Linked DNA regions of Lonchura striata. The protein of the gene in region 3 purifies or fractionates together with the protein of the main gene of each other region. This does not show direct contact. Links are inferred from orthologs where the notes say so. Each region holds a gene or a part of one and is shown on either strand. Other genes may lie near its edges.

Evidence for each region.
Region 1: the proteins of RPA1 (region 3) and RFC1 purify together in Homo sapiens (affinity purification with mass spectrometry; 3 studies listed by BioGRID, with this or other methods). This does not show direct contact. The link is inferred for Lonchura striata from reciprocal best matches to the Homo sapiens genes RPA1 and RFC1.
Region 2: the proteins of RPA1 (region 3) and PPP1R12A fractionate together in Homo sapiens (co-fractionation; 3 studies listed by BioGRID, with this or other methods). This does not show direct contact. The link is inferred for Lonchura striata from reciprocal best matches to the Homo sapiens genes RPA1 and PPP1R12A.

What each region holds. Positions count from the first base shown.
Region 1 is NC_134606.1:22,848,826-22,859,364, reverse strand, and holds the start of RFC1 (replication factor C subunit 1), read left to right. Parts: upstream 1-5,784; coding exon 5,785-5,946; intron 5,947-6,261; exon of another isoform or gene 6,262-6,361; coding exon of another isoform or gene 6,362-6,394; intron 6,395-10,539. Other genes in the region: KLB (beta-klotho), read right to left, coding at 1-368. UniProt on the Homo sapiens protein: Subunit of the replication factor C (RFC) complex which acts during elongation of primed DNA templates by DNA polymerases delta and epsilon, and is necessary for ATP-dependent loading of proliferating cell nuclear antigen (PCNA) onto primed DNA.
Region 2 is NC_134607.1:48,667,433-48,677,971, reverse strand, and holds the start of PPP1R12A (protein phosphatase 1 regulatory subunit 12A), read left to right. Parts: upstream 1-3,478; 5' UTR 3,479-3,590; coding exon 3,591-3,827; intron 3,828-4,119; exon of another isoform or gene 4,120-4,139; intron 4,140-10,539. UniProt on the Homo sapiens protein: Key regulator of protein phosphatase 1C (PPP1C). Mediates binding to myosin. As part of the PPP1C complex, involved in dephosphorylation of PLK1. Capable of inhibiting HIF1AN-dependent suppression of HIF1A activity.
Region 3 is NC_134622.1:6,994,020-7,004,558, forward strand, and holds the start of RPA1 (replication protein A 70 kDa DNA-binding subunit), read left to right. Parts: upstream 1-4,506; 5' UTR 4,507-4,584; coding exon 4,585-4,617; intron 4,618-4,893; coding exon 4,894-4,941; intron 4,942-5,210; coding exon 5,211-5,289; intron 5,290-5,809; coding exon 5,810-5,918; intron 5,919-6,735; coding exon 6,736-6,824; intron 6,825-10,539. Other genes in the region: protein-lysine N-methyltransferase SMYD4, read right to left, coding at 241-407, 656-838, 1,609-2,752, 3,050-3,139, 3,350-3,500, 4,117-4,247. UniProt on the Homo sapiens protein: As part of the heterotrimeric replication protein A complex (RPA/RP-A), binds and stabilizes single-stranded DNA intermediates that form during DNA replication or upon DNA stress.

The DNA.
Region 1 (10,539 bases), on a different chromosome or scaffold from region 3:
GAAAACTGGTAAAAAGTAACTCCCAAAAAATCCAGAGCAGACAAATCTTTGTCCAACAAGATATAACTATCACTGGAGGTGCCTGTGCTGTTGGTGTCCCTGAACTCCGATCGGGTGAAGCGGTCCCAGATGGAGGAGCCTTTCCCGTCCTTCCTCCAGCTGCCTTCCACCTGGAAAGCTCCTGTCCCTACCCCCCAGAGAAAATCCTTGGGGAAAGTGTCATATAAAAACATCTGTGTTTCGCTCACGGGGCTGAAGTGGGAGTCCTTTTTCCACACAGATCTTCCCTCTCCAGCAAGCCCAGTAACCATCCTTACGAAAATTAACATCCAAAAAGCAACAATCTTCTCCAGTCGTTGGCCACACATTGTGCCAGATTATAGTGCCAGTGTTAAAAATCAGATTTCTTGTACTGATGCTGAAAAAATTCCATTCTTTTGCTGGAGTCCACACCGTGCAGACTGTTTTCATTTGCCACAAGCTGCTGGAGTGTCTTATCAAAGCTTCACTAAAAGCTTGTGATTGTAAAAGCCCTGTCAATGATTAGCCTGAACTGTGAGACGTAGAACAGGTCTGAGAATGGTGTAATTTATAGGGAGGTGGCCGCTGTATGACCACTGAGACACCTACCTGGCTTCTTACTGCAGCCTGCCTCAACAATAGAAATGCTAGGAACTAATTATCATCATTTAAAGGTCAGTCATTCAGGTGGGATAATATAGGTCACAGAGGGTCTAAGAAGCTATCATATCCTTTATTTCTTGTGGAGCTGTATTTTGAGGAAACAGTACAATTCACACTACATAATCACCAATTTAAAGGAGATTTATCCTATCTGTGTAATTGGATGGCTGGAAGGGCAGTGCATGATTCCTCAGTCCTACCCTGCTCAAACAACCAACTTCTGCTGAAAAACTCTTCCTGGACTTGTGGGATATTTTGTTGTGAAGAGATATACACACCACCAACTAATTATATAAAACCACAAAGCAAGTCAATATTCCTTTCAAACACAAATGGAACCATTTTTTCTATCCTGTATAAAAGTCTCCTGTACAACACTACACACAGCAGCAGTATAAAATTGACAGGGAACCGTTTCAGTTCTTACAGCATTTTCCTGGATTTCTTCAAATAAACACAATTAGCAAAGATAATTATCCCTGAAATATTATATTTCAGTATTGATTAATTTAACAATTCATATACACAGCTGGAGCACCAGTACAACAAATATTTATACAGCAATTTTGCAGTATAATTTAATCTTTTAACATGTTTAGCAACAGTATGTATGTTGAGATATAGTCAATTTACTCAACACAGTAAGACTGATGCCTGCCATTTTTGTTTTTCTTGAGGTACAGTAATATAAAATATGTCCATATAGAAACAGAAACTGCATGACCACAGCTGCAGAAGAGCCTTGAGGAACCACCATAGAAGTATGAAGTAACTTTGCATGTAAGAAAGATGCACACTGAAATCTGAACATTGAGACAATTAATCAGTGGAGCAGAGTACTCTGCTCAGATGAATTAGCCCTGCTGCCATGTAGGACATGAAAATCCTGATGCACTGCTGGGTTACTGCTGCTTTACTGCTCCTGCTCCCTGTGAGAGCATGCTCGCAGCACTGCAGAATGCCACTGCTATATACCTTTAATTTACCAGTAAAGCTGATTAATTACTACCAATGGAAGCAAATTTATTTATTTTTTGGATAAACAAGAAAACATACATGCTTGTAAGTATTTCTCTACAGAGCCTTTACATTTTCACCACACATGAAGACAAAGCTCCCACTGACATCTGCACTCCAGGTGGTGGGGTAGCCATGCATCTAACATGAGCCTCTGCTCTTACCAGAAATAACAGATCTACATTTCTCAGCCAAGATCCTACCACACACAGGCAGCGTGGGAACAAGAGGAGCAGACAGGGACTGTACAAAGTTGGTTTACAGTACATACTGACATGTTTCTTTCTTTTTCTACGGAACAGCATTTAAAATGCTGTTTGATAGTTATTGCATTAACATAATCTTTCTATTTTGACATTTAAAAGCTCTGATTTTATGTATCCTACTTCACAAAAGAAAACCCAAATACAAGTCGTTACCGATGTCTTACACTTCTAAAGCAGCTAGTCATTGCCATCGTTACCAGATGCTTGAGCTCCAAGTACCCACAACAGCTCTGTAACCCCATGGGCAATCTGTGGGCAAGGGAAAGACAACAGGCTTCTCCCCACTAAACGCAGCAGCGTTAGTACCACTGGCACAAGGATGCAGAGCGTGTTGCACCTGCCTGAGATGTGTAAGGTGCAGCAGAGACTGGTGCTCTCAGGTGCTTGGTCTGTATAAGGTTATGAACTGTATTTCTTTCCTTATTACTGACATGATTGGGAGCATGCTGTAATCATGGTTTGAAAGTGTTTTAATGCCTCAAGCCTCTGTGAATCCAGTTTCTTACTGCTTGGTCATATTTAACTGTTTGGGCTGTAATATAACTTCATGAAGTTTTAAAGAGGAAGCAGCTTAAGTGACGAAAATCGTATAATGACTTGAATTTGGAAGGAGTTCATTACCTGAGCAAAGACTTGGGGAAAAGAAATACTGTTAATCTGGAAAAGCAAATTTAATTTGACTATTAAAGCAAATGTTAATTTGACTGTTCTTAATTTGGAAAGCAATCAGCATGGAAGAGTGAGATGTGATCAGGGGGTGTTAGGAAGTGAGGGTGTGAAAGGAGGAGAAGAGAATTAATGATTCCACTGGCTCAAGTGGCAGAGTCAGGCCAGGCTCCAACCCTGGTGCTGTATGAGGACATACAATATGATGCTGCACAGTGGGATTTCCTGCCTCTGTCCACACACCTAATCAACTTGGTTTCAGAATGAATCAAGATTGGGAGAAGCTGCAATCTGCAGGGCACTTGCTGATACAGATTCAGGAGTTAGGAAGCCTAATGATTATTCAGTTCAATTCTTACTTATCAGATTTCCTTTTCTTCTTTGCCTTTGCCAAGGCATATGATTCAAATTAAGAAAACAATTTTTCACTTGGCTCTTGAATATGTAGTCTCCATGTTTTGGGGCTTGCCTTGAAAACTTGGGGTTTGATCTACAGAAATGATGAACACCTTAGTTGAAAGGACAGAGTTTTGAATGTTAGACTGAGTATCAGTTGACGCTGATATGTAAATGAAGAAAAAGACCTAAAGACAAAGTTCACTCAGAAGAAGTGTAATGTTTACATTAACATCAGCTGCTCAGACCTACTAGTTTTAGGTGCTCAAAGAAGCACAACTTATGTAATCGCCCACAACAGCGTCATGCAAATCCCTTATCTTTACCTTACACAGCTAAAACTGTTTGAGATGGGATCAAGTCTTTCTAAAGACACATAATTGTGATGAATACTATCGAAAGCCCAATGTAAATAGAAACTACATCACAGCTTTATGAAGAATTTTTGGAATTTTCCATCTGTAACAAAATGCTAATTTCTGCTTCTACAATGCCTGAAAAAAATTATTTTCTTTACTAGAGAGTCTAGTAAGAAAATATTCCTTATGGGATTCCTCCAGAATAGAAATGACAATCTAGTAAATTAGTATTTTAACGTCCATTATTACTACAAAAACCCAGAATTTAACATGAAATTTCACTTTAAAAATTGGTTTCAATTCAAAAAAGTATTAATGTATCAATATACAAAAATGTGGAAATAGAATAAACAAGATATTAACAAAAAGAAAACAGACAATTTTTTATTTCTCAGTACAAGAAAATGTAATTTTCTTATTAAAAACCTCCTCTCTCAATAAGCAAGACAACGATTTCACTAATAATATTAACAGTAGGTCTGGGCTTATATAGGGGAAAAATCTCAAGTTCAAGATTTAATATCTCACTTTTTAAAACGTATTTTGGAAAAAACCAACAATATAAAACAAACAAATAGTCTGTGGGTTTCAGCAAGGTAGAAAACAATACTAATAATGCAAAAATTATTTGTCACACTTGCCAATGGAGTGGAGAAATCAATTGTACTTTAGCTACTTTTTAAAAAGTTGTAATTTTAGTTGGGTAATAGGCCTTTTAAAAAACACTACCCATGATCAATTATAGACTCATGGGATTTTGCCTTGATTTTACCTTGCAAAGCACATCATAATACATAATAATGAGTATTCAGTTTTCTTTCCTGTGGTGGAGCAAAGTTTTTCCCACTTCCACTGGTTCCACAGGCATGTACATAGGAACTGAGGTATCCTGTGTCTCCCCACCATAGCCAGGAGTGAATTGTAGGCATTCCAGCTGTTCAGTCTGATGTCTCCACACAGGGTTGAACTCTTGCCTTCCGAGAAACATGAAGACATCATGAACCCACAAACAGATACTCCTCTGCTGGCTGTTACTCTAGGTAGCTTTATCAACTACAAAGAGAGATAACCACCCGCAATATCTCCTCTAGCAGTATTTGAACTGTTTGGCTCTTACAAATATCAGCCATTTAAACTGATCTTTACTTCTAGTATGAGGAACAGCACAGCTTTCAAAGTTACATAACAAGAATTAAATATGTAAATACAAATTTATCACTGGAGATGTTTTTCTAAAGCAATATCGATTTTGTTTGCGTAGCCATTATGTTGAGTGCATATGGAGTAACTTGCAAAACAGGCCAAAAAGCACAGCCTGTGCTGTGGGTCTGTTTACTTGCTCACTGTGTTCCTTATGCAGAAACCCAAATTCACAAGATATACTATTGCTGAAAATACACGGGCCCACCTAGCCATGTGTGTTCATAAAATAAAGGTAGCAGTTTCTGTATAAACAGGACCTTACAGTTACTTAAAGTCCAATTTCAAGAATTTAACAGGAACGGTAATAGGTATCATTAACAGTGTGTGGAATGAGACCATGCCACCAAGCAGGCAGTGAACACAGAGAGAACACAAGCGACAGCATTAGGGATTGCAGTACTTATACTGCAATTATATACATACAAATACAACTACCCATTGAGCTTGTACTCTGGTTGATTTATTTTTTTCTTCGATGAAGGGTCTCCCAAATCACCGGCAGTATTTGTAACGTCACAAATTCAGTTTGTCTTCCCATTCTTCTCCAAGTCCAACAATAATTAGCGATTCAGTAGGTTGACAGAATCTAAACAATATACAATATTTTAGAGTGGAGTAGTTTTTATTTGGCTTGAAAAAATTTATCCCCTTCCAGCGTTCAGTGTGCTTAGTGGAAGAAAATACACACTATTTCATTAGAAATAACTTAGAAAATTAAGCAGTCAGTAGCAGAATCACAACGCTAATTAATTCCCTGGTTTCTGTCGGACTCCTGAGCTCTCCCCAGCCTTGGCGCATGGGAGAAAGTACCATTAGAGGAACCAGACGCTCGGATGGGCAGGAAGCTGGGAACTATCACACGTTTATCACCAGTTTACGAGCAGGAAATGCCTTCCAGCCGCGCGGACCCGGGGCTGGCTGCCCGCCTGCTTTGGGAGCTGCGTGTGCCTCAGTGCCCAACACAGACGGGAGCCATGGCGGCCTGGCACTGCTTCCCCGTCTGCTTTCACCCAGCAGCTCGGCTGTCGGCTCGCCCGCTCTGCCGGACGCGCCCGAGCGCTCGCGGCTCTCCCGCTCTGCTGCTGCAGCGCTGCCGTTCCCGCCGGCACGGGCCGGAGCCCCGCGGCAGCGGTTAAACCCCTCACGGAGCGGCCGCACCCGAGCGGGCCGGCTCCCGGGCGGGCGCCGCTGCCATGAGCCCGGCCCGGGGCACGCCCCGGCCGGCCCGCAGCCCCGCCCGGCGCGGCCGTGACGGCAGCGCGGCGCGCCGGGCGGCGGGAGTTGGCGCGAAGGCGGGAGCATGGAGCCGGCGGCGTCCCGCTAGGCACGGGGAGCGCGCCGCCGCCGCCGCCATGGTGAGGGGCTCCGCCGGGCCGGGGCTGTGCGGGGCGGGGGCGGCGCGCAGGTCCCGCCGGCCGGGCGCGGCTGCGGCGCCGTCGGGGCCCGGCGCGGGCTGAGCGAGCCCCGCGGGCGGCCCCGGGCGCGCAGCCCCCGCGCAGCCCGAGCGGCTGCGGCGGAGCGGCCGCCGCGCCCCGCCCGCTGCGGCCGGGGCTTCCCACGCGTGCCAGGAGCACGGGCCCGCGGCCGGGGAAATGCCCGTGCCCGGAGGGGGATGTGGCTGAGCCCTCCCGGTTTCGCTTTCCCCGAAAGCGGGTGGGGTGTAGGGCGCGGGCCGCGGCTCGTCCCGGGAAGGAATGCGGATGAGCGAACCTGCGGTGAGGTGAAGGCGCTGTGCCGGAGCGGTACTTCTTCCTTTAACCCAGCGGGAACATGCACGAGGCGTTTCTGATGACGAGCTGGAGGGTGCGCAGTATTTGCCGAAAAACAATTCGATGGGAGGAAAAAAAGAGCTTAAAAGTTTATCGATAACGACGCAACCCTCAATAGGATGTAAAGAGATTTTAAGCATAAACATAAACGTGTTCCTATGCTTTCCAAAGTTCCGCTCATGTATGCAGTGACCATAGGATGGTATCCCCTTTTCATTTCTGGCCAAATGAGTTTGCTTTTATTCTGTGCACATCTTTTACTGGCCTAACTACAGGTGTCATTTTGCCAGTTAAGGCGCAACTCTAGTTTTGGACTATCCAAAGAGTTTAAGCTTGTTTATAGTTTATGCCTGGTGCTCTGCAATGGTGGGTGATACAGTCTGAGTCTTCTAGTGTACTGACAGAAGTCTGCCAGCACTAAGACTCCTGACACTATTGAACTGTGATATTTTCATTTGTTTTGAGCTGGCTGATGACTTCAAATTTATGTAAGAGATCTGCCTCTCCCATGCCTCTGCTAACACCTTTATAGAAAAGTGACCTTCTTGGAAGGCTTGCTTCCTCCTTTCCCACCTTCCCAGGACAAATTCTTCCTCTGTGTGATCTTCTGAACGTCACACATCTCAGTGTCTGGGCCTGTCTTAGAAGGGACGAAAACAGCCATCATTTTGGGGAGGGTAAAAGTTGCCTCATCCCATTCCCTTTTCAGTGCTGAAGTGGTTACTCAACCATCTCTGCTGCAGCTGTGGCGGCAATAGAGGCAGAAACACAGTGAGTTACTAATGGTGCAGACTGTTCTGCTTGTGCAGTGACAGCCATGAGCTTATTGCAGTCAATGTCACACCCTTGCAAACTTTTCTCCTGTAGTGCCAAGTGTAAGTAGCCCTGTTAGCTTGATTCTGCAGCATATTCTCATTGTGCTGAGCTGATGTGTGAAGAGTTACACAACAAACTGATTTGCATTAGAAGGGATTTATTTTTTCACCCAGATTAGTGGCCATGTCCCAGTTCCCAAACAGCGAGCTAAAGTGGTACACCCGAGGGAGTGAATGCCCAAGAGTGGGGGTTTCTTGAGTTTCCCCTTCAGAGAGTGACACTCATGGCTGGAGGAGGAGCATCACTTACAACTGTGATACTGTTTGTAAAACTGCTGCAGTTACCACTGTCAGTAACTGTTCATTAGGTGTAGTTACCCAAGCAGGTATTACTGGTTTCACTGAAGTGATAGTATAAATCTGATTTTAGTTAGTGCAATTGTTCTGGAGGTGCTGAATGTCAGAGCTGATATGGGAGCAAAACTTGCACTGAAATAGGCAGAGTAGAAAGAAATATGACTGTTGTGGTGCAAGGCCCTCATTGAGACACACAGAATACCTGAAGTACGATGCATTACTTTCTACTACAGTCATTGAGTTAGGTTGGTGAAGTTCAGTTTTCTATCTTGTATTTTGAGGTGCAGACTGGATTATGTGATGTAACTTTGGAAAATATTCTGCCTTACTAAACACTAGTCTTGTAAAAACACTCCTGGAGTTTCCCAGTCTTTGTACTACCTAACAAATTGGTTTCAGTTTCTGTTTGTGTTACTCTCCCCGGTAAAAAAATAAAGACATACAAATCTTCCAAGAGAGAACTTGCAGCCTGGCATGATTAATTACTGTGGTCTTCTGTTACAGTGTGAGATGGAAGATTTAAGCAGTAGTCAGAGCAGGCAAGGACTAGATGGCAGAGCCATACAACTCTGAGATAGCTGAGCAGCTTTTTAGGCTTTTCAGATGCTAGGCATCAATCACCTGACTGAGAGTGATCAGAATTCTTAGTTACAGCTCCTACCAGATGGAGCTGCTCAAAGTTATTCCTTGCTGGTGCTGTGCTGAAGCAGCCCTGGGGAGCCAAAACACCAAAAATTGCCTATTTTAATTTTAGCCTTTTGGGCAAGGGAACAGCCATGCTGGTTAATATCTCCAGGATACACAGGGCACATTGCTGTGAGTTTTGGGGGTATGTCCTGGAAGGAAACTTGACAGCTGCAGCCTTTCCTCATTGGAACAAGGATAGGTAAAAGCTAAACATGCAGATTTTCCAGCTGCTGGTACTATATATGTATGGATGGCATACCAATAGGAAGGTCAGTCAGAGTATGTTAAATAGATAAGCCCAGGATGGTGAAAAGTGGTCCTGTCTGGAATCTAAGTTGCTATGATAGATACTTATGTGGCTTGATTTCTGCAATTAGTTATGCAATGAATTAATAATTTGTCTGGCATGCCTTTATAAAAAGCATGAAAAATCTGTTTAATGATTCCCGGATAAAACCTTCACTGAAAGGTAACTTTGTTGTTGGCCCTGAGACATGTTTTTCTCCCAAGCAATTCTCTGTTCACTGTGTTATGTCATCAAGGTAAACTTTTCCTCTGAGGAGCAGGATAACTGAAGAAGATTGGTGAATTTATAGCAAAATATTGAAGAGGCTGTGGATAGAAGTCAATCTTTGTACCTTAGGGCTGTGTATTTTAAGTTCTCATTTCATAAACCTTGTATAAATCTTAAAGAATTCTAATATTGTTACCTGTTCTCAAAACACCAAAAGGTTCTGCAAAGCTTCTGCCAGAATTATGTACACTTTACAGCTGATTCCAGAACTGAAATCCAAACTCAAGATCAAGTTAGTAGAAAAGCAGTGATTAATAAATCTTGCAGAAAAGCCTTTGGGGAAGCCTACTGAAAAGCTTTATAAATACATTAAAGCAGACATGGTTTTAAGCTGGGCTAGCTAATGAAATACATATTTCCTGCTACCACGTTTAAGGTGTACTAGTTTGATGACTGTAATTTTGGGATGTATTCATGTTCCCTCATGCAATAATTTCCAGGTAGCACAGAGGTTGGCAGAACAAGGTAGATTTGCAGAGCACCTCAGTTAACAGTTTTTAGTGAAAACAGTAGAATGAATAGAGCCATACTGTTATTCTAAAACTAAATTCTCAAATATTTTAAGCTTTAAAGTAACAACTATTAAAAAAAAGGAGAACTTTAAAGTCACTTTATTTTGCAGTGTTGTATTAAGTATTTAAATTATTTTGCTACATAAAAGATCTAATGATATCTGCTTTTTCTCTTGCCTATGTTACCTTAAGCCTAAAAGGAAGTCAGTAATAATGAGTATAATTGAGTAATTAAGTCCAAATATCGATTTGGAGACTTTTTAAATAGATGTTCTCTTCAGACCTATTAGCTATAGATACTGGCTGTCAAAATTTCAGATTTATGTAGTGCTGCATTTATCTTGTAGGAATATATGTTAAATAGTAGAGCATTGAAAATCTGTGCTTCAAGGCTTGAATTCCATGGATGGAGAAGTGTGAAGTCACATTGAGTAAGAATGATTTTCAATCTACCATTTGTTGAATCCATATTAATACATGCAGTTAAAACACTAAGAGCTTAAATATTTACAGGAAACATGTAGAAAATTGTTTTAAGTGCACTGAATGAATCAATGCATGTCCCATCTTTTGTTTATGCTTTCGAAGTACATGTTTCATTGATTTTAAGCCCTAAGTCCAAACTGACAGGAGTTGATTGTTAGAAAATGAGCCTCAAAGACCCCTTATTATCAATCAGACTTGATGCCAGTTTCCTAAGTGTGCTACTTTCCTTGTGGTTCCCTGTAATAGTAAGGAAGTGCCAGCTGAACTCCATGTTAGGGAATAGCTCCCAGCTGTGTCCAGGGGAGTCCTGAGCCCCACCCTCTACCTGCTGTCTGTGATTTAGGCAAGAAAGAAGGTACTGCCTTTCTCTAAAATGGCTGCTGACCCTGGAGGTAGTGATACCAACCAGGTACCTCTTCCCTCAATTTCTTTTAGAAAAGCTGGATTGCTAGATTTTTATAAGAGTAGTCTGATGTGATTTTGTTTGATAAAGTTGTCTGAAGTTTGAGCTCCAGCTGCTGATTTTATATGCTTAGAAAGCTTTTAATGGCTGTATTGTGGTCAGATACTAAAATAAAGTAACAAAATAGATCAAGGTGTTATTTTTCTTTATTTAAATTTTCTAAGTTTCTTGCTGGCTAGTTTTTTAGTGAGGTGTGAGTTACTGTCTTAAAAACTTATGAGAAAGTGAAGAATGCAGTATGTGCCATTACTTCAGTGTGTCAAGCTCCTGGTCCTTTTCTTTCTT
Region 2 (10,539 bases), on a different chromosome or scaffold from region 3:
ATGCAGTTATCTAATTCACTCTTGTGATACTCTCTTGCAGTAGTGACTCTTTTAGAACTAATTTGATACTCACTTTTAACATGGTCTTCAAAAACAGCTTTAATATATGTTTGCTCTAACCCTTTACACAAATGAATTTAACACTCCAGGCTTAGGCAAATAATGGGAAAATAATTTCATATTTGTACCAAAATTATTATTGGTATTTATATATGTTTAGCTCAATTTGTATGGAATTAGAAGCTCTAGACCGTCTCATCTCTCAGCTACACTGATTTTCCAATGACATGGGATGACATTAGACATGGGGTAGAATGGCACTGTGATGGGGTAAAGAATATGACCCAATATGCCTTTGCTATTTAAATTGCAAACATTTATTAGAGATATGAGGTAGGAAAAAATTAGAAATTAAAAATATTATTATTAGTATTATTATTCCCTTCTTGAAGTGTGAACACTTGCAGAGATTAACTAGTTTACAGAAATTACAACTCTACTTTTTGCTTAAGGAAGACCATATGCTTTGCTAGATTTAAGAACTACATATAATTTCCAGCAGAGCACATAGCTATCTCCAAAGGACATTCATACTCAATATATATGGAATATCTGAGTTTCAGCTGACTGTACAAATGAATTATATCTTGCCTGTAGTGTCTGCAAAACCCCTCAAACATAACTCCCTACCATGATGTGCAATCCAAAAAAATTAAAAAGTCAAGGAAAATAATGTCAAGAATTTGGAGCATACAAATAGCTGCAGTGAATGGAAAAATATTTGCTGAAGTTCTCTGAAAAGCTGGAGCTGAATCAGTGAAAAAACTTTCCTGGAAAGAAGAATAAAAGGAAAATATGAAATCTGGGTTTTAAGAATAAAAAAATATTTTATTTAAGAATAAAATTGAGCTGTAGAACTTCTGCATTTCACTAACGAGACAAGAAGAGCAAGTTGGAGTTAAAAGAGGATCCCTGACCAGAAAGAAAAAGCTGAACTGGAAAATTGAAATCAAGCAGAGGGGACTGGAACTCTAATGAAAACTTAGAAACTTGCTCCGTGACATTGAAATTCCTGAGAAAGTGCATGTTGAACATATGCCTATCTATTTGCCTAGAATTACTTTCTTGCTAATAAAGCACTATATTTAAATATTGTTTGCTGAAATCAAACATTCTTCAGATATGAGGTTTCTTGAAGAGTCAAATTTTCAGACAGCCAACTGAGAGAGAAGCATGATGGGGAGGTGACTTGTAAAATATCTGAGACATCTGGGGCAGGGGAAAGAAGCTTTTGTCTTGCATTGCCTTTTTCCAGGGTATAGTTTTCAAGTCCTTAGGAAATGGCACTGTGTTGAGTCTGCCCTGGGAGAGTTTGCCCACAAGGACAAGACTACAGCAGGAGGCTGGAACCTGCACAAATTCCCTCCTTAGACATGAGTCAGGTGCTGCAGCCAAGCTCCCAGCTGGTAACTGTCCATGCCATGCTGGGTGGTACCAGTGCTATGCCAAAGCACAGCCAAATCACTCGTGTGAGTAATAAACACTGCAAAGACTGGTCTTGAATTGTGCTTTGCAGTCAGCCATATTTTCAAATCCAGGAACCTAAAATGTACCCCTGGATAGACACAGGCTGCCAAAGGGAAGGTATAAATTAGGTGCCAGGTAATCTTTCATCCACCTACTTAGACTGCAAATCTTTTTCTGGCAAATCTTTCTTCTTGACTACCAGATGTTGTCTTTTGTTCTCAATCACATTACGCCTGCAAACTGTCAGTGCATGTAGCTCATGCACTGCTGTATAAGTAAGTCTGATGGATATTATGCAAATATCTCCAGATGAAAATCTCTTCTGAAAGACATTAAGAACAGCACATTGCTGCAGGTATCTTGCAACTACTACTTCTTGTGAAATGTCACGGACATCTTTATCAATATAAATGGAAATAAGAGTCCTAGTCAGCTGCACAATTGCCCACCGTAAGAAGGAGACATTGTAATTAGAAAAGCACAAATTATGCAAAATTTGAAGTGTATGAGGTTTGGTGACTCTCTCAAACTATACTTGGTTTCCTGTAATTAGTTGAAAATAAAACTTATTTTCCAGTAAGTTCAAAACCACATTTTATCCCAGAGATTATTCCATTTAAAGCCAAATACATATTGCTTAGCTAAAGAAAGCATGCTGTGCATAGAAAAAAAAACTTTATTATCTGTTATAGCTTGGTTCCTAGAAGTTGCAAATCTGAAGAAAAACATTTTAGTCTTTGTATCTTCAAATCCTGTGTGGTTTGTTAACTACTTGTTTTCTCCCAAGAGAAAGGATGACTGTGCTACTCCCCAGTTTTGACATCATGGAAGTGAACTGTAAGTGAAAAGGACAACAATCACAGGGCTTTGTCCACTGCCATGCAGAATGATAGAATCACAGAATGTGATGGGGTTGAAATGGATTTTGAAAATCAACTAATCCAAATCCCCTGCCATGGGCAGCAGCACCTCCCTCTACACCAGGCTGGTCAAGGCCTTATCCAAAGTGGCTTTAATCACTGCCAGGCTGGGGCATCCACAACCTCTCTGGGCAACCTGTTCCAGTGTCTCACCGCACTCACAATGAAGAATTTTTTACAAAAACATCTAGCGTAATTTGTGCCCATTACTCCTGGTTCTATCATTACAGTTCCTGAAAAGGAGTCTCTCCTCAGCTTCCCTAGAGGCCCCCTGAAGTGTAGAGGCAAAGGGGGTGCTTTTGTAGATCAAACTGTGCTGAGGTAGTCCTATCTAACCTCCCAAAACAAATGACCCTCAACCATGTTGCTCCATTTATTTTCTCTTTTCCAGTCAAGTGGTTCCATATGCCTCGTTTGCCAACGCAGGCAGAAACACCCACCTGTTGCCGCAGGTGACAGAAGTCACCGTCGGGAATGGGCAGCACCTTTAGAAAGGGCCCGACGGAGGCGGGGCTGGACTTACTCCCCACTGCTCTCTGCCCACTCCACGCCCCTCTGCCCACTGCCCTCTGCCCACTCCCACTCCCCTCTGCCCTCTGCTCACTCCCCACTGCTCTCTGCCCACTCCCCACTGCTCTCTGCCCACTCCCCACTGCTCTCTGCCCACTCCCCACTGCCCTCTGCCCACTCCCCACTGCTCCCTGCCCACTCCCCACTGCTCTCTGCCCACTCCCCACTGCCCTCTGCTCACTCCCCACTGCTCTCTGCCCACTCCCCACTGCCCTCTGCCCTCTGCCCACTGCTCTCTGCCCTCTGCCCACTCCCCACTGCCCTCTGCCCACTCCCCTCTGCCCACTCCCCACTGCCCTCTGCCCACGCCCACTCCCACTCCCCTCTGCCCTCTGCCCACTCGGCCCGCGCGGCCCCGCCCCGCTCGCGCGCGGCCTCCCGCCGCACTGCCCCCCCGCGATCTCGCGGGATTATGCTAACGAGGCCGCCGCCGCCCCGCCTCTCCGCTCCCCGCCCGCCCCGCGCCCTCCCTGGGCGGGTGAGCGCGCGCGGCCGCGGTGCGCTGTGGGATAGTGGCGGTATAAAGTGTACGCTCGGCGCGGCCGTGGCTGAGGGGGCCGGCGCGAGCGGGGCATGAAGATGGCGGACGCCAAGCAGAAGCGGAACGAGCAGCTGAAGCGCTGGATCGGCTCCGAGACCGACCTGGAGCCGCCCGTGGTCAAGCGCAAGAAGACCAAGGTGAAGTTTGACGACGGCGCCGTCTTCTTGGCCGCCTGCTCCAGCGGAGACACCGAGGAGGTGCTGCGACTGCTGGAGCGGGGCGCCGACATCAACTACGCCAATGTGGACGGGCTCACCGCTCTCCACCAGGTCGGTGCTGGGCCGAGGAGGGACCCCAGCCGGACTGGGGCGGAGGGGGCGAGGCCGGCCGGCTGCCCCCCCTCCCCCCCCCCTTCCTCCGCTCCGGAGGAGGAGGTGGAGGAGGAAGGGGCCGGAGGCGGCTGCGCTCCCTCCGCTGGGGGGTGTCGGGGCGGGGAGGTGGCGGCAGGGTCAGCCTGGGACCGGCCGGGGCCGCGGGCCGAGCCCCGGGCCGGCGGGGCCGCAGGGGCGGGAGGCTGCACCCCCTCCCCGCGAGCTGGGCGTCGGAATGGGCGGATGGGCCTCTCCTCCGGCGGGAAGGAGGTGCCGCTCACCTTCTTTCGTTTTCCCCTTTTGGCAGCGCTTCCCTTGGAGGGCTGGGGGTGCGGGCCCGGCCCAGCATGGGCTGAGGGGGCCGGAGGTAGATGCCCCCCGGCGAGGGAGGGTGGCTGCAGGTGAGAAGAAGCGGGCCGCCCTCGGGGGGCGCTTCTGCCGCTGCCCCTTGCCTGGAATCCGGGTAGTAGCTCCCTGCTTCCCTCGTCTCCCCGGTTCCGCAGTAGTTGAGCCGATTAAAGCCCGCTCGTGTGTGCGGGCGGCCCTGTTGAGAGACAGATCATCTATTTTTCTCCGGTTTCTAGGGGAAGCCAGTGTTTTGTTCATTATATAGAAACGCGTATCAGTAAGGGGTTGTTTTCGTTACGATGGCTCCCGCCGCAGTGTGAAAGCTGAACTTCAAGCGGAACAGGGATCTTAAATTTTTTTTTCGTGCGTTGGAGAGCATTAAAAAACCCTATCCATATCGCTTTGTTCTGGTGTGGGTATGTGGGAGGGGTGTTGGTACCAAGGGAGGTAACTTTCACTTGGGTCAGGGGGGGAATGCACGGGAAACTGGCTGTGAAGTTTCCTCAAAATGGATGCTTTGTGCATGTTGAACTTCATAGCAGTCTGATTGGAATCTCAAAACGTTAGCCAAATAAGGAAAGGCTGTGGCAATCCGGAGATAATGCGGGTTTGCCTGAATAGTTTTTTTCTCTAGAAGGCCAAAAGTTTCCACGCAATATTAGATTCACTGAATATCTATAAAGCAATAAAATACCTTTGACAGGCTAGCTTCTTGTTCTTAAGTTTGTAAGTTGTTCAGTAGTTTCAAAAAATATCTTAATGTTTATGTGTTGTAGGTTGATCAAGTAGAAATTTTCCCAAAATGGTTAGGTGAGGTGGTTTCTTACATTAAAAAAAAATGAGATGGTGAATTTGTTTTCTCCATCCTATATAGGTTTTTCAAGGCTATGAGGCTCTAGAAATACATAAACTGCCTTGCAGAACTGGATAGAATCCCCTCTTGAATATGGGTTATAAAATTCTATGACTATTTGCTCTGTTTGCTGTGGCTGAGTTGTCACTTGCTGTTGTCACCCTGTAAAGAGTGTTGGTTTAATTTCAGTTGTGAACTGAACTGGAAGAATGAGTGTGTGTTGCGGTTAAGCCTGTCAGCGTGTTACTGCAGCGCAGTTACCTGAGTGCAGGCTAGCCTGTCACTTCATTGGAAGGTTTTCTGTATTTATCCTCCACTAATCAAGTTTTGGTAGCTTCATGCTTCCAGGGAGCTCTCTATGAGAAGCCATACCTTAATTGGCAGATCCTTGGATCTGCAAGTTGCTGTACTCCAGTCATTGGTAGGGAAGGATGATGTTTAGTTTAACTCTATTGTTAGAATAAGAGATGGTGTTCTTTCTTTCTGATGTCCAGAAGGCATTTTCAAAATGTCTTTGATACAGTATACAAAAAAGCTTTCCTCAGGGTAATTCTGAGCATATTCTCCCCCCTTTTTTGTATGTTGTAGTCAGCTTGCAATTTGAAAGGGCAAAGTCTAAGGGAACAGAGGTGAAGATTTACATCACTGCTAAAATCCTTGCTCATGCTCCTCCTGTCCCCTCCCCTCCTTTAGTGATACCAAAAGACCTTTTCTGATTCTATGATACTGGAAGCAAATAAGATCAGTTGTGAAGTTATAATCCTCTTGAGGCAGTACAGTAAGTTACCTGTTGCTGTGAAAAAAACATACAATGAATCCCTGCCTGTGACAACTCTGAATGGTTTCACTTCATTATTAACACAAAATCTTATTTTCTTCCAATATGCCATATAAAAGGTGCAAATCACACATGTAGTCTGTAGCATGAATTAATTTAATCCAATTTGGCTGCAGTGTGAAAAATTCTGTATCTGTTTTCAAAAGAAGCTCTTCAAAAACTTGTCATTCTTCCTGACACTTTTGACTGACTAATGGTAATTGTGTTCAAGTCGATGTTGTTATGTTTAAGATTGTCATGGAGTGCTGTTGCATTGTGGTTCTTTGGTTGGGTTCTTTTCTGTTTTGTGTCATCTGTTAGATCCCGTGTAGAAGACATTGCTCTTCAGAGAAGTAAATTTATCTCAGCAAAGGTAAAATTACTGTACTTTTTTTGGGTGTGTCTTTTGTCTTCTATCAGTTTATTTTTTCTAGTTATTGAGAACAAATACATATGCCTGGAATAGCAATAGAATTAAATGTTTAATGTAATATTTAGCCTTTGATTTTCCTGCTACATATGGCAGTTATAGGAAGAGCCTTCAGCTTTGTTTTATTTTTCACAGCTCAGGCAGTTGGAAGTGCTAAGGGGAATGTACCATTAATCCTGAAATTCTGGTGAACTTTAGGTCTGGTCTTTAATGGAGCATCAAGCTTTGTTGTTGAAGCCGTTAGCTAAGCTTTTCCTCTGATTGGGGTAGAGTGCCATCACCATCAGAGAGCTGCATGTAGAATTGTTTCTCTTCATGCATACTGGAAAGAAAACAATTACTTGACTTGGTAGCTGATAGGAGGAAAGCAGAGAGGATATATATAGGTACTTACTTCAGCTCTTGACAGTGCCAGTGAGCAGATTTTGTTTTATATCTGCATGTGCACAAATGAGTGGACTTGAGTGCGTCACATCTGAGGACAGATCAATTCAATTCTTTGGTATCGTGCAGAAGAGGAAAAATTGTCATTAGGTTATTATTGGTTATTATTCTTCTATGGAATTTTGAGTTCAGATCTCACTTTAAGAACGTGTTCTGCACAAGTCCTTAGAGTAGGCCTTCAGCACAAAGGACGATACTGTTATGTACTGTTTTCCTGTCTATGAGATATATATGCAATATAGGATATTGCAGCAGGATAGTGTGTATTGTGCTGCGTGATCTGCATTGTATACATACTGTGTACAGTGTACGTGTCTGTAAGACCAGAAGACTTTTAAATGAGAACTTAAATTTAAAATCAGATGTCAGTGGCATTACTCCAGTGGAGGTGGAAGTTTTGAGTGTTGCACTGTCAGATAGCTGTTATGCAGGATGAGATCTAACTTGAAGTGCAGCTTTTCTAATCTGCCTTAACAATGGAATGTAAGGAGAATTTGAGAAAAGAAAGAAGCTCAAAGGTGAACTGTGACCTTGCAGATTATTGGGGGGGGGCGGGGGGGGTAGAAGCGGCATATTCTGAAATAATATTAAAAAGCTATATAATATTTTCAGTAAAACCTGATCTTTTCTTAGACATATTTCTTCAGAGTGGGATTCAGGTCTCTTGTCCTGAAAGCTTAGCGCCTATCATTCCCCAGAGTTTGGACTCTCTTGTGCTTTCCTTGGCTTTCATTAAATAGAATTTAGTTCACTAGCTCTGACTGGAATTTATTGCTTAAATGGCTGCAAGTAGTTTGTCTAGAAGTTACACAGAGCTTTGTACAGGAAAGTGGAGCCCACCGTTTTTGGACAGCACCATGGAAAGACTGCATGTAGTGGGGAGGGACCATGATGTGGCCAGTTTCCTGGAAAGCTGGGTTCCCTGTACACATTGCTCTCCTGGGAATATTGAATATGCAGTGTGGAGTACCTGCACACACCTCAGCACTGGCTGAGATTAGGCTGTGGTTGGGTATCACAATTTATGCAACCTGCTTTTTGACTGCCCTTTTTCTTTGAGGCTGCTCAGGACTAGGGGATGGTAACCTTGTTTTTGGCCTCATTCTCGCTGGGTGAGGAGGGCGAGTGCTGCAGCCTGATTCCACCACACAGCATGGAAAGAGCATGTCCTGCTGTGCTGATCTTACCTGCTCTGGGGAGGGCACTGCTTTTGAGGTAGGATAAGGGAAATTGTCTTGGCTGGCTGTGCGTGGGGATCATTACACACCCACAGGGGATATTGTTGGTTAAGCCCCTGCTCCTTGTTGAAGAATTGGTGTCATCTTTTTTGTCTGTGAGAACTACAGTTTAATTAAGCAAAATTCCTCGATGGCTATCTCTCTGTATCAGTGTTTTTCTGCAACTCTTTAGGTGGTCAATTGAATGTGAATGTGAGACTATTTTAGCAATGTTATAGTTACATCCTAGTTTGCATATAGTACAGTATACAGTGGTAAATAGAAATTTCAATTTGCTGCCACTGTTGTAGGACTCTGATGTGTTTATCCCTGAATACTAATCAAGATTGTGTGTTTCAGAGAATGTTTGCTTGCTCTTTCTGAGTAAGGACAGTTACTTCTGTTATTTCCTTTGGGTTCTATGACATTTATGTCTTAGATAAGTACCTTCCTTTGCAGGAGTTTGTGCAACCGTTTATGTGAAAAGTTCTGCCAGGGCTCCTGGTGGCATATTCTTAGTACCTGATATGGTAACGAGTATGGATACCTTTGGCACCAACTGTGTTCTTGTTGCAACACCCTTTCAAACTGCAGCCAGTGATGCAAAAGGAATATAAAATCTACCAGCACTGGATCCCTTTGCCGCAGAATTTGATAGAGGGCATTATGGCTGCACTGTCTGTATTCCTTCTGATGAATGGTAACGTAAGTCATGTATTTGAGCTGGGGCTGCAGCCCATCAAGCTCTAAAAGCAAAGGTCAGGTTGCCAGAGTCTTAAATCTCTAGAGTGTTTGCATCATAGCAGCCACACTCACCAGCCAACAGTAAGGAAGGTATGGAAGTAGCTCAAAGCTGTCCTAGTAACCTCCTGGCTATGACTTCTACCATTACTCTTTCAGAGAATGAAAATACTGGTGCGTGTGGTAAACTTGTTAACTTTTCAAAACTGTCAAGTAGGAGGACCTCATTTCATACCAAAATGTTTGTATGCAGTTACAAAACTGATGTTGAAGTCTCACTGTTTGGAGGGGAACAACCTACTAATCACCAAACCTAATGCTGTCATTGTGGATGTCTACCACTGAGAATTTTGGAGTAATTTGTTCAGCTTGTCTTATTATTCTTTTATCGTGGCTTCTTTTTTTTTTTTTTCCTATTTATCTATGCTACAAGATAGACAGAGGAAATTAGTCCAGAAATAAATGTAATGTTGACTTCATTCAATGATCAGACTACAGAGGCATATTTGTTTAAATTCTCTTTTGTAACTGGTTCTTGTGTGGGCCACAGATCCTTCTCTCTGTAGTTACAGTAGCTAGGTTCAGATGGTACAGTAAGTACTTGTTAACTTCCTACTGATGTTGTCATCTAAGATTTTTAATTTTTTTTTCACTCTTTGAATTGGAGGCAAGAAGAGGGGGAAAAAAAGGTGTGATTTTCCCATAAGATACTCTGAGTATAATAGTGGAAATTTAAATACTGTATTAAAAAAATTGTGTTCTCCTTGGTGTTTTATGAAAAAAATGAGTTACAATCTCTTCACCTTCTTAGGTTTATTTCTGTCAAGTCTGAACCTGGGATTTCTATGTGTTTTCAGTGCTGTGGATATTTCTTGTGCACAAACAGAATAACCCAAGTGAATTCTAGCATATAGAAATTACTTAGAGTATTTAAAACCAGTTTTCATGTTAGTGTAACTGACAGGTTTGTTAAACTTGCTAGTCATGGAGGAGGAGTTCTGCATTTTAGTGTAAGGATGAATTCAGCTGGTAGGGCTTTAGTATTTACTGAAGCCAATGTTCAGGGACAATTTCTGTTGGTCTCTAGATAGGAATTTCACTGTAGCATTAATGCTGCTTTTATAGTACAGCTTTGTGGTTTTCTATGTGTTCTAGTATATTTTTGGTATTATAACAATTTCTCATGATAAGTCATCAAAAAAAGTACCTTGTAAGAGTAGATGAGTTGTATGTATGTACAACTTTTGTATATATGAATAAAATTGATATGAACACACTTGATTTAAAGCCTTTATGATTTTGACATTGTAGTAGCAAGAATGCTGTTTTATCAAATTATAGAATTTCAATTGTTAGGTATATCTGAGGCTAGGAGACAGAAGCAGTCAGTATAAATCACTAGTACATTTACCACTCTGGAGAGATCTGTATTCCTGGCTTAACAATATATGCTACACTTTAGTTGGAACAGATGGTTTCACAGGCTCTTGTGCAGTTCTGCATTTGTTTATCCCTTTGCTTATGCTCTCAGTTGCTCCCTTTCTCTAAGTTATTACTTAGGCTAGTAAGACAGTACAATCCTCTCAAAAACTGAGAGCCCAGCAAACAGGTAGTCTCCTTCAGTGTAATTGTGTTTCCTAAGGCTGGACTCATACCATGTGAAATTGTGGAGCATGACCTGTTCTTGCAAATACTGAAATTTTATCTAAGGACATATCCAGATGGGTTAGACTTAGATGAACTAATATCTCTGAAAGCAATATGGAGGTAGTTTTGAACAACTGTAGCATGATCACACCACCTTTCTGGGATTCTTGCAG
Region 3 (10,539 bases):
CACCTCAAAGTTCACTCTCCATCTGCATTAGCTCTGGGTTATAGAGATGCTAAATTGTTCCTCACTTGTATTCATTAAACAAAGTGATTTTTTAAATAAATTGTTATCAGCTTATTTGATTTTATAAGAAACAGTGAGATACTGTCTTGACTCAATAGGGGCTTTTGGCTTCTGAGCAGGGATCAAAGTGAGGTCTTCACACCCCAATTAAGTTGCACAATCATAACTATGGAGAATTACCTGCATTTGGGCCTGGCATTTGGGACAGCAGAATGAATTTCTGATGGACACCACACTCTTGACACCAGACTCTAACTCCTCGAGGCACGCCGGGCAGCGACAATTGAAGAAATACTGGTTGAGAAGCTGCTGCCTCTCAGCAACCCTCATCCTACACCAGTGAGGCCCTGCAAAAGATATCTCTCACAAGTACAGTTCTTAATATCAGAATAAGTGGATTTTTGTTACAATTGAGACTAGGTATATTTTGAGGAGGACACAACTGGAGACTGAAAGTCTAACAGAGGGCTTAAGGGACAAAGACTCTGACATTAGATGAGAATTATATGAGAATTATGACATAAATAACCATCAGCTTGATAAGGGGAGGTGAATGACATCTGTGCCTTGAGACAAATGCAGAACTGGGGCTTACCATAGCAATGCAAAACCTCTTGGCCACTTGAGATTGGCTGTGATGCCCTGACAGTGGCAGCTGTCCCACTGAATGACACGCTGGTATTGGGGCAGCACGAGTGGTTCAGGAGGCTGAGGACAGGGAAGAAGGCTGTTGCCAGCCTCACAGGCTTCTTATCTACAACATCCCCATCTCCAGGCCCTGAAGACAGAGGAAAACCAAGCAGGTTGAGATTGAATACTCCCAAACCCACACAATTTCTGCAATGAGCCCCGTGACCGATCGCAGGCAGCAGCAGAAAGGTTCCTCGTATATTGCTGCAATAAATAATAGCTAAACACGTCTTGCATGTGCACCAAGGAACAGGCCAGCATGGGACAGGCCATTAAATTGTAAACAAATCATTTCCATCTGCAATGGGAGCTTTTTACAGCTGAGAATTTAATCTCTTCACACAAGAACATGGGCAAGGAGAGGACAAGATGGGCAAGGAGTCCTGGGCTCCTCAGGACAGGAAAGAGGAGCTACTGAGAGGGTCCAGTGGAGGCCACAGAGATGATGAGGGGTCTGGAGCATCTCTCTTATGAGGAGAGACTGAGGGAGCTGGGCTTGGCTAGTCTGGAGAAGACTGAGAAGGGTTCTCATCAATACATAAACAAATACAGGTGTCAGAGAATAGTGATGGACTCTTTTCTGTGGTGCCAGGATGAGGAGAACCAGCCACAGATTAAACAAGAAGCTCCACCTCAACATGAGGAAAAACATCTTTCCACTGAGGGTGGCAGAGCACTGGAACAGGCTGCCCAGGGAGGTCTGGAGACATTCCAAACCCACCTGGACCCACTCCTGTGTCACCTGCTCCAGGTGACCCTGCCTGGGCAGGGGATTTGGACTGAATCATCTTCAGAGGCTCCTTCCAACCCCAACCATTCTGTGACAACACAGTAGGGCTTCAATTTTTTTTATCTTACCCAACTCCTGCATTACAGTGATTGCTTGTGCATTACACTGCAGCTGCAACACGTGCCTCAGCATTGCTTCTGCCACAGTCTTCAGCTCTGGGGACAATTCACCTGAGGTGTTCTCACATGCCTTTAGTTTGGACCACTGCTGAGGCGATTCCTGACACAGCACAGCAGCCTCCAGGCCAGCTGCTTGCAGCTGTTTGCATATAGCTACCACACTGAGCAAGCAGAGGAACTTGTGCTCAGGGCTGTGCTGCTCAGTGTGGGGTAAAAGGTGGAACAGAGCTTGGTAAGAGCTCTGGTACTGACCACTGCTGTCACAACCAGGGACACCTCTGCTACCAGCTCCTGCATCTGCTGCCTCACCGAGAGGCTTGCAGCTTGCCTCAGGGCACTGCAGGCTCTTGTCCCCATGGTGGGACCATGCCACCAGCCTGCTAACCTCTGCAAATCCTGCCAGCAGGACAGTCCTCAAGGCCACGTGGCAGAAGACTCCCAGCGTGAGGAGCAGCGCTCCCAGGGAACACTCTGTCCTGTGGTACTGCTGCCATGCCACGTCTGCACAGTCCTGGCTGCAGTACTTGGCATAACTGCAGCCCTGGCAAGGCACCGAGGCCAGGAGCTGCCTCAGGCAGCGGTGGCAGTAAAGATCCGCGTTGGTGGCTCGAGTGTCCCACGCTGTGTCACCATCCTGCAGAGGAAGGCTCTCCCCAGGGCACAGCACGCTCACAAAGGCCTCCTCTTTCACCAGGCTCTGTCCTGGCACGATGTCCTGGGAGGCCAGCAAGTGACGTCCTCTCTCTGCATCAAAACCCAAGCTCAGGGATGAAGATGCACCTGAAATCCTGTTGTTCTCTTCCCAGATTTCTGGCTCCCCTTGAATGCCACCATGTGCTTCTTGTGCAGGCTCTGGACACCTCTCTTTCTCACCTAATTTAACCTTCAGCTGACTTAACTTTTTTAGCCGTGCCAGGTTTGTAGTCATGACACCATCCAGAGCAAATTTACTCTCCAGCACTCTGAGGCTCTCCTGTGCATCCTGTAACCTCCCCAGGCGCAGCAGACACTCAGCTTTCCGCAGCAGGACCTTGGGCAGCAGCCTGTCTGGATAGCCATGGCTTTCAGCCCTGGCAATATCTTCCAAACAAACCTAGGAACAAAGATAAGGCCTTTTCAGTGGGCTTGAAAACCAGCTTGTGCTCTTTCATTCCACCTAAGTCTCATGGAAGAATTCTGTGTGCTAATCAGCAAGTTCCACGTGCATAACCAACCTGCTGCCCAAATAAAGCATCCTGAAGTAGGGAAGTTGAGCTATGGATGCTTTAAGCACAGCATGGGAAGCACAGCATGGGAAGCACATCTGATCTACTGTTTCTTGTTCTAATAATCCAATCCTTCAGGGGCATCCAGGACATTGCAGGGTGGGTGCTGCCCTGGCCCCACTTACCTCAAAGTGTCCCAGGTGGAGGAGGGCGGCCGAGCGGTTGGCAAAGCACACGGACAACTCGGGGCTCCCGGGGAGCTCGTGGGATGCTGCCTGCAGAGACCAGAGAACTGCTGCTGCCTCGGGGGATCCCTCACAGGACCCTCTCAGCAGGGCATGCAGGATCCCCTTTTTGGGGATCCCCTCACCGGAGCTGCTCCTTGCCCCTCACCCTTCAACCATGAGGGGCTGCAGGAGCCTCTCTTGGGGATCCCCTCAGGGATGTGAAGGTGTTGTGGGTAGGACCCCCTCTGCCACACCTACCTTGGAGTAGAGCCTCAGGGCAGCCTGGTAGTGGCCCTGCTTGAATTCCTGGTTGCCCTGCTCCCGGTACCGGCTCGCAGCCTCTGGCTTCTTGTCCGTGGCTGCCCGGTGGCACAGCTGCACCAGGGCTGCCTCCTCCTCCTCCTTGGTCCTGTGGGACACGGGGGCAGCACGGAAGGATCAGTTTGGAGTTTCTGGTCCAGCCTCCCTGCTCAAGCAGGATGATCCTTGTGGCACTGTGTCCAGAGGGTTCTGGAGTATCTCCAGCGAGGGAGACTCCACACTCCGTCTGTGCCACGGCGGGGTCACTGCACAGGGAAGAAGCTCTTCCTCGTATCCTCAGAATCACACGATTAGGTTGGAAAAGACCTCTCAGGCGGTGACGATGCCAGGTTTGTCAGCACTGAATTCCATGTCCCATCTTTCCTTAAACACCTCCAGGGACAGCGACTTCACCTCCCTGGGCAGCCCATTCCAGCGTCTAACCACTCTCCCTGCGAAAAAATTCCTACTCGTGTCCAACCTAAACCTCTCAGGTGAATTTAACCCTTTATCTTCTTGTCCTATCGCCAGCAACCCGGGAGACAAGGCCGACCTCCAACCTGCTGCCAGGTAGAAAGGTGGAATTTTATCCAGATGGAATTTCCTGCCATTGCAGCGAGCGGAGCCTCCTCCATCCTTCGACACCCCCCTTTATTATTTATACGCATTACGAGATGCTCCATTCCCCGCTCCCCTCGCTGCCCATCCCCGGACCCGCGGCTCACCGGAGCAGATCGCAACCCAACCGCACCGCGTCGTGAAGCGAAGCCGCCGCCAGCCGCTCCCTCAGCGCCGAGTCCAGCGCGGCCCAGAGCCGGGCGGTGCGGCCGCGCCACTCCGCCACCGGCAGCGCCATCACTGCCACCACAGCCACCGCGCCACCGGCAGCGGCATCGCCACCACTGCCACCACTGCCGTCACTGCCATCACTGCCGTCACTGCCATCACTGCCACTGCGCCACAGGCGGCAGCGCCACCGCCGCCATGGCGGCGCCCAGCGGCATCCCCACACGGCTCACAGCGGTACTTCCGCCATACGGCGCCGGGCAGCCAATAGAAGCGCGTTCTGGCGGGTGGCGCACGGCGCGGCGGAGGCGGCGCCGGAAGGAGGCGCCGGAAGGAGGCGGTGGCGGCGGCGGCGGCGGGAGGATTTGGCGGCGGCGGCGGCGGGAGGATTTGGCGGCAGCGGCACCATGAGCGTGCGGCTGAGCGAAGGGGCCATCGCGGTGAGCGGCCCGGCGTGGGCTGGGGTGCACCTGCGCCTGGGCACGGTGCGAGGTGAAAGCCGGGCCTGGGCACCGCGCCCTGCCCGGTCCTGAGGGGAGAAGCAGGCCCGGAGCGGGGCCTGGTCCCGCGGGGGTTTCCTGGTCCGGCGGTGGCGGCCGCACCCGCGTCCCTGGCTTCTCCACGGCAGTTCCTCCTCAAACCCTTGGCTGTAGGTCGGGCGCGGGGTCTCAGATGTTCCTGTGGCGCTTTCCTGAGCGTCTCTTTCATTTCTGCAGGCCATAATGCAAGGGGAGGAAGTCTTCAAGCCCGTGCTTCAAGTCATCGTGAGTACTGTCCCTTCCCTCGGTGGCTGCTCTTGGAGTCCTGAGTGCAGCCAGACTTTCCTCTGCAAAGAAGCCGAGCAAGGCTGCTCTACTTTTAATTCTCTTAATTTTGTTTTACATTGCTTGGGCTATGAAGTTGATATTAGTGCTCAGAAAAGCCGAGTAGATAAGTCACTTGTTAATGTCGCTTTCTGGTTTTGAAAAGTTTCTGAAGAAATGTGAACTGACAGCCTGTTTTTTTGGTTTTTGTTTTTTTTTTTTCCCTGCAGAATACACGGGCTATTGCCACAGGAACTGGGCCCCCACGTTACCGAGTGCTGATGAGTGATGGGGTGAATACTCTCTCCTGTGAGTATGACAAGCTGCTGTGAGGTTTTTCTAAGTGTGGACATGCTACGGGTGATGAAGTTCCTACTCTGGTGACTTGGATGCAAAGTGCTGAAATAAACATTGAAGGAGAATGTGTTTTTTTCACTGGCCCACAGACTCTGAAGTGTGTAACTACGTTTTGTCCTTTAGGTGAAATGTCTGGCTTTTGGAACATTGTGAAATATGAACAATCAATTTGCTGCAGGATGTAATGAAAATACAGAAACCTATACATATAACATTAATTTAAAAGTAATTTAGCTTAACTTTCCTCTTAGTTCTTTGATATACAAGCGTTCTAGCTATCACTGCACTCTGAAGTGTGGGGAATGAATACAGCACACTTCATGGTCAGTTTTGGTGACTTCTTAGCAGTTGCACTGTTTTCTTTGTCAAGCTGTAGATCCAGTGCAATACTTGACTGGCTGAAAAAAGTGTGGCAGTCCCTTTTAAAGCTGTCATTGTGAATTATTTCAATACTTTCCTTCTGCTCCTGCAGCATTCATGTTGGCAACACAGCTGAACTCCCTGGTGGAAGAGGAACGCTTGTCAGCCCGGTGCATTTGCCAGGTTAACAGATTCATTGTCAACAGCCTGAAAGATGGAAGGTATTTGTGTTAATCTTTAAGTTCAGCCCTACAGAAAGGCAGCTGCATGAGTGTGTGCTTTGTGACTAAGCAGAGGCCAAGTGCTTTTGGTTGGGATTATCTGACAATACTCATGTTTTAGGGTGTGAGAGGGACAGTCCACAGCAGAAGGAAATTGCAGAATGTGACTAGTGAGATCAGATGTATCTGGTACAGTGATATAGTAATAAAAAATTTCCAGTTGCAATACTCCACCTCCAGCTGGAATACTCCAAATACTTGTACAAAGCTTCCTTAAAATTTTCTGCTGTTGAAAAGAAACAATAAAGGTATCTTGTTACTTAGGTGTTGTGGGATCTGGTCTTTTATTAAAATTTGAGGAAATAGGATAGGAGGAAAATTTGAGGGGATGGGTACTGCAAAGTGGGAAGGGATCCAGGTGAAACTATTACAGAAAAACTGTGTGTATGTCTATCAGGAGATGAACTAAGGTTTGTATTCTTTTTATTCTGAAGAGAAGACAGCAACTTTTGAAGCAGGGAATAAAAACCTGGTATGGTTTAGCTATTTTTAAAACACAGTGGTTTCCCAAGCTATTTTTGGTGCCTGTTCAGGCCTGCCCTTGATGCAGTGATATCAAGTATCCTTGATATTGTTTCAAGTTTACTTGTCCCTCAAGAGAGGGCTTAGTTGACAGTGGAAAGCTTTTGTCTCCCAGATCCATAATCCAAAGAATCAGCCTCTTAATGCTTGGTTTTCTCAGCTGCTGCAAAGGATATCCTGAGATGGGAGCTGCAGAGGGAGTGACAGTCTTTGTTTGTTGTCTGTTCTGTTGTAGGAGAGTGGTGATCCTGATGGATGTAACTGTCCTGCAAACTGCTGATCAGGTTGGTGGGCCTATTGGCAATCCCCAGCCATACAATGAGGGTGAGTAGCTGCAAGTAAACACTTTTCTGTCACCTCAGAGCCTTTCAGCTTCTCTCTTTCACCTGAAAAAAGCAGTCAGACACATTCAGGGATTTTTTTTTATGCTCCAGATCTTCAAAATCCTTTTTGTTTGTGTCATACAAACTGGGGTTTGTTGCTATTTTAATAAACTCTGCATCATGGCTGAAGCTTGAGTCTCTCCATGGTGTTTGGAGCATCCATACCTTATAACCTTGACAGGTTTTTATTGTAGTGAGTGGTCTCTACCTCGAGTTCCAGTAAGTAAGCGGAAGCGATTTTATGTCTCCTCATAATGAGGAATCAAATAGATTCTAATTTCTCCTGTCTGGAAAGAAACAGGAGGAGGAAGATGGAATAATGATCTGTAAAAGTCTAAGATGCCATGGAGGGGATGAATAAAGAATGATGAATCTCTCTCTCTCTTTTTTCTATGTTCATTTGATGCTCTTCAGCTCTTGTGTTGTCAGGCAGTGGTTGTAAAACAAAGGCTGCACCACACCCCTAAACTGCACAGTTAAATTATGGAACTTGTGGAGGTAGGTGCCAAAAATTGGCACAGATTCAAAAAGCAATTAGATGTGAAAGAGAAATCCATTAAAGGCTGTTAAACATAACAATACATCCTCTGCATGAATGTTAGGTGCAGGAAGCACTAAAACTTAGATTGTTCCAAGTACATAGACAAGAGACTGGTATGAAAACAAGGAGAGCACAGAATTCCCCAAGCACCCATTCCTACCATGCCTAGCTGAAAAAGGATTGAGGCACTGGGTGGACCTTAATCTGACCTGCCATTAATCTCTTTGGATCTGTTATGTTGCATAAATAACTGTGTTCTTCCCTTTTGTGTGCTGAGCTTGCAGTTCTCATGCAAATGGTTTTTTAAATTAAAACATTTTTCCCTCTGAGAATGTTCAAAAGCCTGCTCTCTTCCAATTCTGATCTTTTAAAAAGGAGGGAGAATAAGAAGCCCTTAAAAGGAAATATTTTAACAGCTCTGTCAGTGATGTATACACAGATAATGGCTGGAATTTAATAGCAAACAGCTCTTCCTGAAGATTTTTTTTTTTAATCCTGAGAGAAGTGGACTAATATATTTTTATTGCTAAGGGACAACACATTAGTGTCAAGAGTTTTCTGTAGAATAGTTTGGACAAAAAGTGGTGGTAGGTACATTGCTCTTCTGGTTAAAAATCTATTCTGTTGCAAAGGCAAAGATATCTTTCTTCATTAACTTTTTCCAAGGGAATTAAGAGGGGCGTATGTTAAATGAGCCTAAAGAATCCTTTGTTCCTTTGATAGTTACTTAGCTAATTGCTGTTTAAAAAATGTGTTGACATCTCAGATTTTATGGTTTAATCCCACAGTTGCTGTAGAGACCAAGACTTTCAGAATAGCTACTGAGCAGACTGTTTTGTGCCTTTCTCCCATTTCCCTGCTTATGTGATACAAGAGCTTGTGAACTATAGTGTTTTTCAGTTATATTGTTGCTTAGAAACCACTGAGAACGTGGTATCTGACAGAACTGAGCTGAAAATATACCTTTAACTATAAATTCTGGTAAAATTACCATTACTTTGATCAAAGTTGTGTTCTTCATTTGGACTTACAAAAATACTCTGCAGTGAAGGTTTCAAATCTAAACTCTTTTGGAGATGTTACAGGTCTGTGGTCATAATATGTGTGGGTAAAAAGATGCCAAAAAAGATGTAATGTGTATTTCGTTTGAACACTGATCTTATTCTGACAACTTCATACCCTTTTATTTGATACTAAATAAGGTTTCTGATACAGAAGATGGTAATAATTTAGATTAGGTAAGCTTAACTCAGCCAGCTCTGCAAACTGCAAGATTTATCATGAAGGCCTTGATGAAATGGCAGAGGTGTGTATTTCAAGCTGGATATTCTCTAAGTTCCTGTATATATTAATAAATTGGTATTTTTGAGGGACACTCAGCTAAGGCAAAATGAACATCTTAAATGTACTTTGTGTTTCTGTTAAAAAAAAAAAAAGTTCTGGTATTTTAAAAATGTATCTTTTAGCCCTACTTTTGGTTTTCCTTGAAATACAGATCTCAGACTGCCAGACCTAGGATTAAGGAATATTCTTTCTCAGACTGTAATAGCACAGTGGGACCCAGGAGGGTGAGAAGCTGGCTTTTGGCCACTTTACATGGGAGCAGTAGGTGGTTAATCTGCCTAACAAGGAAGCTGGAGACACAATCTTCTTATTACAAATCATAAAAACTTTTCAGGCAGCCTCTCATAATAGTATTGAAAATTAAGACTGAGCAGTTTAGTTCTTGTTGAAGACTGGATGGTTGTGTTATTACTGTCGTTAATCTTATTCAAATTACTCTGATGCTGGACTTCCTTTTCACTATGACAATGACTTGCTACTTATGTTCAACTTCTGTCATTAATCTTTCCATGTTGAAATGTTTATGTACTTACACATTCACTTGAACTCCTTACTCTTGCCCTTCCCACTGCTGTGATTTAGAGGTGTGTTGTTTCAAAGTGCATTTTTTTTTTTTCCCTTCTCTCCCTTCCCTGCTGCTCAGTTTGGGGGCAGGTCTTGTGTCATGGCACTGTGGCAAAACCTCTTGGTGACAAATTATTGGAAGCTGAGGGTTCCTGTTACACAGTTATTGCCTTTGAGTGGGCTGTGAGGCAGCTGCAGGCAAAGGTCACGGGTTTGCCTAATCTACCACATATAGAAGAAATGTGAGCAGGTATTTCAGCTGCTTTTTTCACCTCCTGCTAATAAAAACTAGCAGCAAAAGCCAGGCAGCCTCCTCGGTTTTCTGAGCACTTTAAGTGATCTGTAGGCCACCAGCCACCAAAAATCACAGTTTAGGAGTCCCTAGGCTCTCCAAGCGAGAAAATTGGAGAGATATTTCTGCTACTTCTGTATTTGAACACATGCACAGATGTGTGAATTTATTCTTACTCTGTTGAGAAACACTCGGCTGTGGGTAGGCAGCCATTAAAATGTGAATTTGTGTTTCATAACGCACACGTGTTCCAATGGACGTGGTGGTCTTTGGTTTGGTTTTCAGTGGAGTTTTTTTTTTTTGAAACCACAAATTCCTACAGAAAGAAACATATTTGGAACAAAAGTAATAAGGAAACCTCTTGCTGCTTCATACCCACATTCTGTTCTTCTTGAATATTCCTCGCCTGACCAGACATATTTTTTTCCTGTTTTTCCACCTTCCCTTGCACAAAATGAATTTGGGTGTGGAGTGCTGACCCTCTGAGCACCTGAGGCCACGGAGCAAGGGGGAGACCTGGCTCCTCCATCTAGTGGAACCTGCAGTAAATACACATTTTGCTGTTTGACGTCATGCTGTTGCCAGGGAGACTGTCACCAGTTCACCGATGTGACTCTACTGCGGCAAGTTAGAGATTGGGCTTTGTGCAAGGACCTGGATTTTGGATTAAAAATAACCAGAGGGTTACTTCTGGAGACTCTTACCGCATCAGGCAGAACCACACTGGGGTCTCCTTGTGTTGCTTCTGCTCTTTTCCCGTAGTTTGGTGCCATCACTCTGTCCTGGGATTCTCTGCTTTTGTTCCTTGTAGTGCTCTACAGACTTGGTCTAACCTTCTTTTCCACTTTCTTTGACCATCTTCCTCCTCACATCCCACATCTCGGGGGTTTTGCCTGCTCAGGCCTATGTCTCCCT